Linked DNA regions of Xenopus tropicalis. The protein of the gene in region 1 binds, or shares a complex with, the protein of each later gene. Links are inferred from orthologs where the notes say so. Each region holds a gene or a part of one and is shown in the gene's direction. Other genes may lie near its edges.

Region 1 (3,659 bases):
CACTTGTGCCCAACACAACTGTGTATTAAAAGAACGTCTGAGCTGATATTACAGGTCAGCTCAGACCCCATAAAGTGAAACCACATGTCCTGCAACCCTGATCCTTTTTATCAGGGGTCCCCAACTTTTCTTACTCGTTAGCCACAGTCAAATGTAAAAAGGCTTGGGAAGCAACACAAGCACCATAAAAGTTCATGGAGGTGCCAAATAAGGGCAGAGATTGGCCATTAGGTAGCCTCAATGCACACTATCGGCTTACAGGGGGCTTTATTTGGTGCTAAATCTTGTTTTTATTCAGCCAAAACTTGCCCCCAAGTCAGGAATTCAAACATAACTACCTGGTTTGGGGACACTGAGAGCAACATCCAAGGGGTTGGTGAGCAACATGTTGTCCCCGAGCAGCTGGTTGGGGATCACTGCTTTTATAGAATCATAAAACTCCTTTGAGATTTCTTATTTTCCTTTTCTCTTTGTAGGACAAACCTTGAAGCTCTGCAGAAAAAGTTGGAAGAGCTGGAGCTGGATGAGCAGCAGAGGAAGCGTCTAGAGGCCTTTCTCACCCAGAAGCAGAAAGTTGGGGAGCTGAAGGATGATGACTTTGAGAAAGTGTCGGAGCTTGGAGCAGGCAATGGAGGAGTGGTGTTTAAGGTGTCCCACAAGCCGACTAGCTTGATTATGGCCAGGAAGGTGAGATTTTTGAATGGAGTTTAAGTAGAAATAAAGACAGAAGGAAAACGTGAATTTGTTATTAATTTGTGCATAAGAATACAATGATTGACATATTCTATTATTTTCTGGCAGTTAATTCATCTGGAGATAAAGCCTGCAATCAGAAATCAGATTATCCGAGAGTTGCAGGTTCTGCATGAATGTAACTCCCCATACATTGTGGGGTTCTATGGGGCCTTCTACAGTGACGGAGAGATCAGCATTTGTATGGAACACATGGTGAGAATTAGGGAGGGACTTGAAAGGCCAGAGCTCAGAGCCTTTGGGATAATGAGCTAATGATAAGGAGATTTAAACTGTGCTCTAGTCATTAGCTGAGGCATCAGATACACTCAGGACTGTATCTATACAAGGTGTACACCTTTAGGGCGAAGACACACAGGGCGATTAGTCGCTGCTTTGAAAAGTCTTACTGGCTTAATTAAAAGTTGCGGCAACTAATCGGCCTGTGTGTAAACTTGTATTTTCTTTGCTTGATCTTCTATTTTTTGCCCCTGCAGGATGGAGGCTCCCTTGATCAGGTTTTGAAGAAAGCTGGCAAAATCCCTGAGAAAATTTTGGGAAAAGTCAGCATTGCAGTGAGTATTTAGCAAATGCAAATTTGTGATTTATATATATAAGAAAACTATCCAACAAAATCAAATCCTTCCAATTATATGCTCATTCATATAGAGGGCATCCTGGAAAGTAAAAGCTGTAATTTATACTACAAGTTTTAATGTCATGTGTTACACTTGCTCCTGTCAAATTCTGATATCCATTTCTAACTGCAGGTGATAAAAGGTCTAACCTACCTGAGAGAGAAGCATAAGATAATGCACAGAGGTAAGTTTCTATATGGAAGGGCCCTCATTGACTCATTGATGTATAACGCCTTTTAAAATGTTCAGCTTAGGACCGGAAAGATCATTCTGTATTGAAAACCGCTGTTATAGCGTAACAATAAAAAAAACTCACTGTAGCACTAATGGTGCCATGCCAACCACAATGGCTTTATATAGAGAGATGTCTCCTATTAACTAGGATTAGGTGTTTGAGGAGAAATAATGTGCTTCCAGTAGCATAAAGGCATATACCCTACGTAAATCTTAATGTTTAATAGCTCAAAGTGCTTTTATGAGCCCCTTTGCAATGTTATTATTTTCTTTAGTAACAACCTTGCTAAACAACATTAGCTTTATTTTCTGAATCAGGATGTGTTCTATTGATCCTGTCACTAAGCAATAGAACTGAACAGGAAAGCATCAAGAGAGGCTTCCTGCTTCAATAAAATAAGCTTTGCCATTCTACCCAGCCCCCACACACTTTTACCAATTTTACATTCCGTTATTGGGTTAGGTATATGTCCCTTTTAAAAGTCATTTTTTTTTTTTTGTTTGTTTTGCAGATGTGAAACCTTCTAACATCCTAGTCAACTCTAGGGGAGAGATAAAACTCTGCGACTTTGGAGTCAGCGGGCAGCTAATAGACTCCATGGCAAATTCCTTTGTTGGGACAAGATCCTATATGTCAGTAAGTGTCCTCCAGTTCCTCTTCACCCCAGAGCATATGTTCAGTGACAGCTATTCTTAAGTGCTTGTGAAAATACAATGTTGCACAGGGGTTCCCAAATACGAAATGTACATTAATTTAATTGTAGTCATGTAAGGGTTTTGTAAAGCTGTTTCTATTATTTGAGGCAGATTCACTTTGATATACATCTTACTGCTCTTAGGATCTGAACACCCCAAGGGTCCCAAACCATAACACACCACATTTTTCTCAATGTATATTAATAAACATGGTCCTACCCCTTCCATGGTGAATTTGCAATAATGTGTGAATTTTTCAGGTAAATATACATTTGAAACATGTTACAGTCATTGGAGCTGATCTCCTATTGCCATGTTATGTGTTTATGCATCGACTGCACTCTGCACAGAGTCACGTGTGTTCACACTGTGTGTCAGGCAGCAGATGGAGAATGCCCTCCCACACTGTGCAATGCTCCGTGTGTGTGTGTGTGTGTGTGTGTGTGTGTTTGTAATTACAGCTCGTCACATTCTGGCTGTTGGGGGTGGTGATGCTTGTTCTTTGTATTCTGGAAGGAGTCTGCCCTAATTACTACATTACAGATGGTGTATATATTATGTAATGCTACAAAGCAAAGTGCATATACACTTGGTCAGTTACAAAGGTTTGTATGTGTGTAGGGGTGGATATAGATGTATAAGTTAGGGAGGAACTCCTATAACCAGGTAAGTCATCTTGGTACCCATGAAGTAATGCAGACTCAAAAGCAAGGAATTTGTTAATAGCCCTGTTCTGTGCACCTTGCAGCAGTTAGTGCAGAACAAATAAAGTACTTCCGTTTGCTAACTTTCTTAGGTCTTCAGAACAATTGTGGAAGTAGTAAAAGGAAGTTGATATGGGTAATTCAATCTCAAGTTAATTTTCAGAAGAATAGAATGTCCTATTAGCAGCCTTTTTGCATTCTTTTCCTTTGTTTCCTTTATAGTTTTTAAATTGTTTACCTTTCTCTTTCACCTTTCAAATGGGGGAAAAAACTGTTGTTCCGAGTTACTTTTTATGACTTCTTTTTCTATCAAGGCCCTTTCCTATTTGTTCTTTGGTCTCTAATTCAAACCACTGCCTGGTTACCAAGGTACATTGGACTTTCAACAGCTATCTGGCTTCTAGGATCCAAACTGGAGAGTAAGGTTGCCACATGGCCACTATTTTACCAGCCTGGGCAGTAAAAATGATGCTTTATGCCAATGTTATTAAAAGGGGAAAAAAGTTAAAAATATAGGAAGCCTGGTGTTTCCAAAAAAAGGTGGCGACCCTACTGAAAAGTTGCTTAACAAAAAGCTAAGCAGTTGTAAAAAAAACAAAATTTTCTTAGAAAATTACATTCTACAACACACACACAGAACCAGAAAAATGGACAC
Region 2 (3,659 bases), on another chromosome or scaffold:
GGTTTGTTTATAGAGAGTTCGTCTGCATTTAAACAAATTTCGCTGTTTGCAAGGGGAGGGCAAGGTCAGGGAAAAACAAAACAAAAAAATTCTGTTACTGGTTTTAATAGCAAAATATGAATGTTTTTACTTGAAATGATAGCTATGATATATTTTCAATGAGCTGTGGTTGCTCAAACATGACACATGACACACAAAAAAGCAAGTGTTAGGCTAATGCCAGATGTGTCTCAGCATTTGTATAAAACGTAGGTTGATAAACAGCTGTTCAATGCTTGTATGTCTGCACTCATAGGCACTGCACTGTCCTGTGTGCACATACGGAGTGGATTTCTTAAAAAAAAAAAAAAAAGCAAGAGTATGAATTTTTGCTCTAAATATTTCTCCGTGTTCACACAGGCCAACGCAGTGCTTGTCAGTGCAGACAGAGGAGTGAGCAGAGTAGAGTGAATCGGCCTACCTTTATACACAACCTATAAGACTTCTACGTCTGGCATTAGCTCTATCCCTATTATATATTGATAATATACTTGATAACCTACACTGACCAAAATTAAAGGAAAAAAACAGCCAATGTTTGTTGAATCACTTATTATGCAGAAAGGTGCAAAGTCACCTCATTGAGTCTGCTTGATTATCTATAATGGACATATCTGCCACATGAACACCTGTGCCTAGCTACAAAGTCACGGGGGCCACGGTGATTCACTAAACAACGTTTTCTGTTCACATGTATCAAAATACTGTTAGTTAATTAAAATACTTAGTTTTTCTTTAGGCAATAAGAATTCTTTTAACTTGTATGATGCAATTACATGCAATTGTCTTTATGAAGGGGCATAAGAGATTCAATTCAAGGATATAAAACTTTTCTCCTGGTTCAGTTTGTTTTTTCCCTTAGACTTCAATAGAGTTTTCATGTGATAAACCATGAGATAAGTTTTTTAAATTAAATTGAATCTCCTCCATGAGTTTTCATGTGAAAACTCCTTTTCTCACCAAACTAAATCTGGCCCAAAACATCAGGTTTGTATTGTATTTTCATGTTGCAGTAATCTTGGTTAACCACTTGATGGTGCTAACAGCACAAACTCGAACAATGACCATGCAATTCCACTAATGTGCTGTTCTCCACCCAAAAATTGTTCTTTATATAATGAAAGAAAATGTAATTGAAAACAAGCTTCAAATATACGTTAATTAAACATTTCAATGATTTTAAAGTTTTTGTAAGTGCAATTGATATAAGTATTTTGTATATTCAAAAGCAGCAGACAGATAACTACTTTCCATAACAATTACAGTATATTTGGTGGAGATAACTTTTAATTTGAGGACAGAGAAATTCCTATATTTAACAGATGCTATTAATACAAGATATGTATTGTATATTATGTATTGATTGCATGTCTTTTTTATTTATTATTGTAGAAGTATCTGTCACTGCCCAAGCATCGCATGTTTCTGAGACTTCAGAGAACTCCAGGTAATGTGCTAACTGCTGTTGAATTCAGATGATTCTTTTCATTTCCTTACATTTGTTAGAGATTGCCCCTTCAGTCATGTATATGCCATATGGCGGATCCAGTGGAGACATTTTTAACATTAGATCAGAAGCAAGTCTACTTGATTGCATGTTTTTTTCTGCAATCATATACAAAAGTGTATATGTTTATTATTCTACATTTTCAGAGTACATTCATATACAACTGAATTGCTGTTTTAATAATTATATCCAAAAGCAATACTTTTATCATTTAAAAACTGTAATGTTTTGAAGCATCTGTACCAACATTAATTATAATGTGTGTCCCTTGCATCCATTGATGGACAGTGTCCCTGTATCTAAATGTGCTTCTGATACCTTGTATCACTCCTCAAATCAAGTAAGAAAATTAGATAAGTCTGTGTGAAAAGTTCAAAGCCGATCCCTGCCAAAGTTGATGGACTTCCCACAAATCCTTTTAGTTCAAAACAAACAAGAAAAACTTCAGCGCCATTGGCTAAGGGATAGAAACAGCAAAAAAAATATATGTAGTGTAATATTTTCTCCTTTTGTGGTCCAATATATCAGTACCACTGCAGATAAGGGATTTGTATATCGTTCCTGGAGTTTTTTGGTTTTAAAGATTTGATCTCTTTTCTACTGATCACATGTATAATTATATATTGGACCACAAAGTGTGTATTGTTAAGAGAAAATACTACACTGTATAGATTTTTTTGCTGTTTCTATCCCTTTGTCAACTCCTCAAATCAAAGCTGCCTTCTACACCCAGCAGAAATAATTGGCTTCCTACAAACGTAAAATTGATCTGATTTGGCATTCTACCTTTGGCAACAGCAAAACATTCACCTATTCTAACTACATATGTGTTTTGAGATATTATTCTGTATTATTCCTAGTGCTGAGGCTGAAATGGAAACTGATGTGGCAGAAGAGCAAGAAGCTGAGGTAAAGTGGCTCATCATGTACAGTCATGGAATGGGAGCATACAATAAATGTCATTATAAGGTGCTCCGTACCTAATAAATGTATTGGGATGTTAGGAGCCAAATGTAGCATTATTTGAAATCATATCTAAATTTTGTATGATAGTAGAAGGTATATTGCTTTAAAATAAGAAATAGTTTCTTGTGTAGGGAAATCTCAAGGGGCTCTACAAGGCTTCATGTTGTCTGCACTCAGGAGACTTCTCGTAATGATTAGGTATCACATCCCTTGCCACCATTCCTGTGTTGCCAGATTTCCAGCCTACCAGAAGCACATCTCAAGAGAGAGGTTGTTTTTATCCCTCCTAGAAACATTACTGCCAGTGCACATGCAACAGTTGTATCAAATAGGAACAAAATGGCACACGGTCATTCAGAAAATGCCATTGTGACTGCAGTATATATATATATATATATATATATATATATATATATATATAGATCATAATATATGATGCTAGGTGCCTTTCACTTGAAAGAGAACCCCCTTCCCCCCATGCAGTGGCAGCCGTAGTGTAAACTGATTTATCAGACATTTTTAAATATAATGGATGAGGTACAGTTCTGTAAGTAGGGTATATGCAACAATACCCATGTATTTAAAAAAAACTATTATTACCTAAGATCACTGCCTGAATATTCAAATGCAACTGAATATGGACCTAATTATTATATATTTACTACAGGTGGAAGAGCAGGATGCCAATAAATCTGAGCCAGAGTATGACGATGATGAGCTTGATGAGCTTCCTAACTCCAGATACACAAGTGGAACTTTCAGGGGAATGATCATCCGCAAGGCGAGCCAGACCAGTGTATACCTGCAAGAGTGGGATATTCCCTTTGAGCAGATAGAACTTGGGGAGCTCATTGGCCAAGGCAGATGGGGAAAGGTGTTTAGAGGCAAGTGGCACGGTGAGGTAGCCATACGTTTATTGGAGATAGATGGAAATAATCAAGATCACTTAAAACTCTTCAAAAAGGAGGTGATGAACTACAGACAGACGCGGCATGAGAATGTAGTTCTGTTTATGGGAGCATGCATGCATCCTCCTCACTTGGCCATCATCACCAGGTCAGTGGTGTTTCTTTTCTGGTTGTAAGCCATATATTTATTGAATGTAAAAATATATTGGATAAAATATCAGTTTAATAAAAAACTGTAC

The links. Proteins that work in one complex are often made in the same cells at the same time.
Region 2: the proteins of map2k1 (region 1) and ksr1 are in contact, whole or in part, in a crystal structure (PDB 9AXH), measured with the Homo sapiens proteins. The link is inferred for Xenopus tropicalis from reciprocal best matches to the Homo sapiens genes MAP2K1 and KSR1. Residues at the interface, in NP_002746.1 of Homo sapiens: Asp217, Ala220, Asn221, Ser222, Phe223, Val224, Gly225, Thr226, Arg227, Ser228, Met230, Arg234, Leu235, Gln236, Gly237, Met308, Ala309, Ile310, Phe311, Leu314, Asp315, Val318, Asn319; in XP_011523731.1 of Homo sapiens: Asn767, Gln768, Leu769, Lys770, Leu771, Ser772, His773, Leu776, Val784, Arg785, Met787, Thr788, Pro789, Asn823, Gln824, Ala825, Ala826, Glu827, Ala828, Ser829, Ile830, Trp831, Gln832, Gly834, Ser835.

Annotation. Positions count from the first base shown.
Region 1 is NC_030679.2:117,157,106-117,160,764, forward strand, and holds part of map2k1 (dual specificity mitogen-activated protein kinase kinase 1), read left to right. Parts: intron 1-476; coding exon 477-687; intron 688-801; coding exon 802-948; intron 949-1,229; coding exon 1,230-1,307; intron 1,308-1,502; coding exon 1,503-1,554; intron 1,555-2,116; coding exon 2,117-2,241; intron 2,242-3,659. UniProt on the Homo sapiens protein: Dual specificity protein kinase which acts as an essential component of the MAP kinase signal transduction pathway.
Region 2 is NC_030678.2:104,961,062-104,964,720, forward strand, and holds part of ksr1 (kinase suppressor of Ras 1), read left to right. Parts: intron 1-1,431; coding exon 1,432-1,486; intron 1,487-2,406; coding exon 2,407-2,455; intron 2,456-3,179; coding exon 3,180-3,568; intron 3,569-3,659.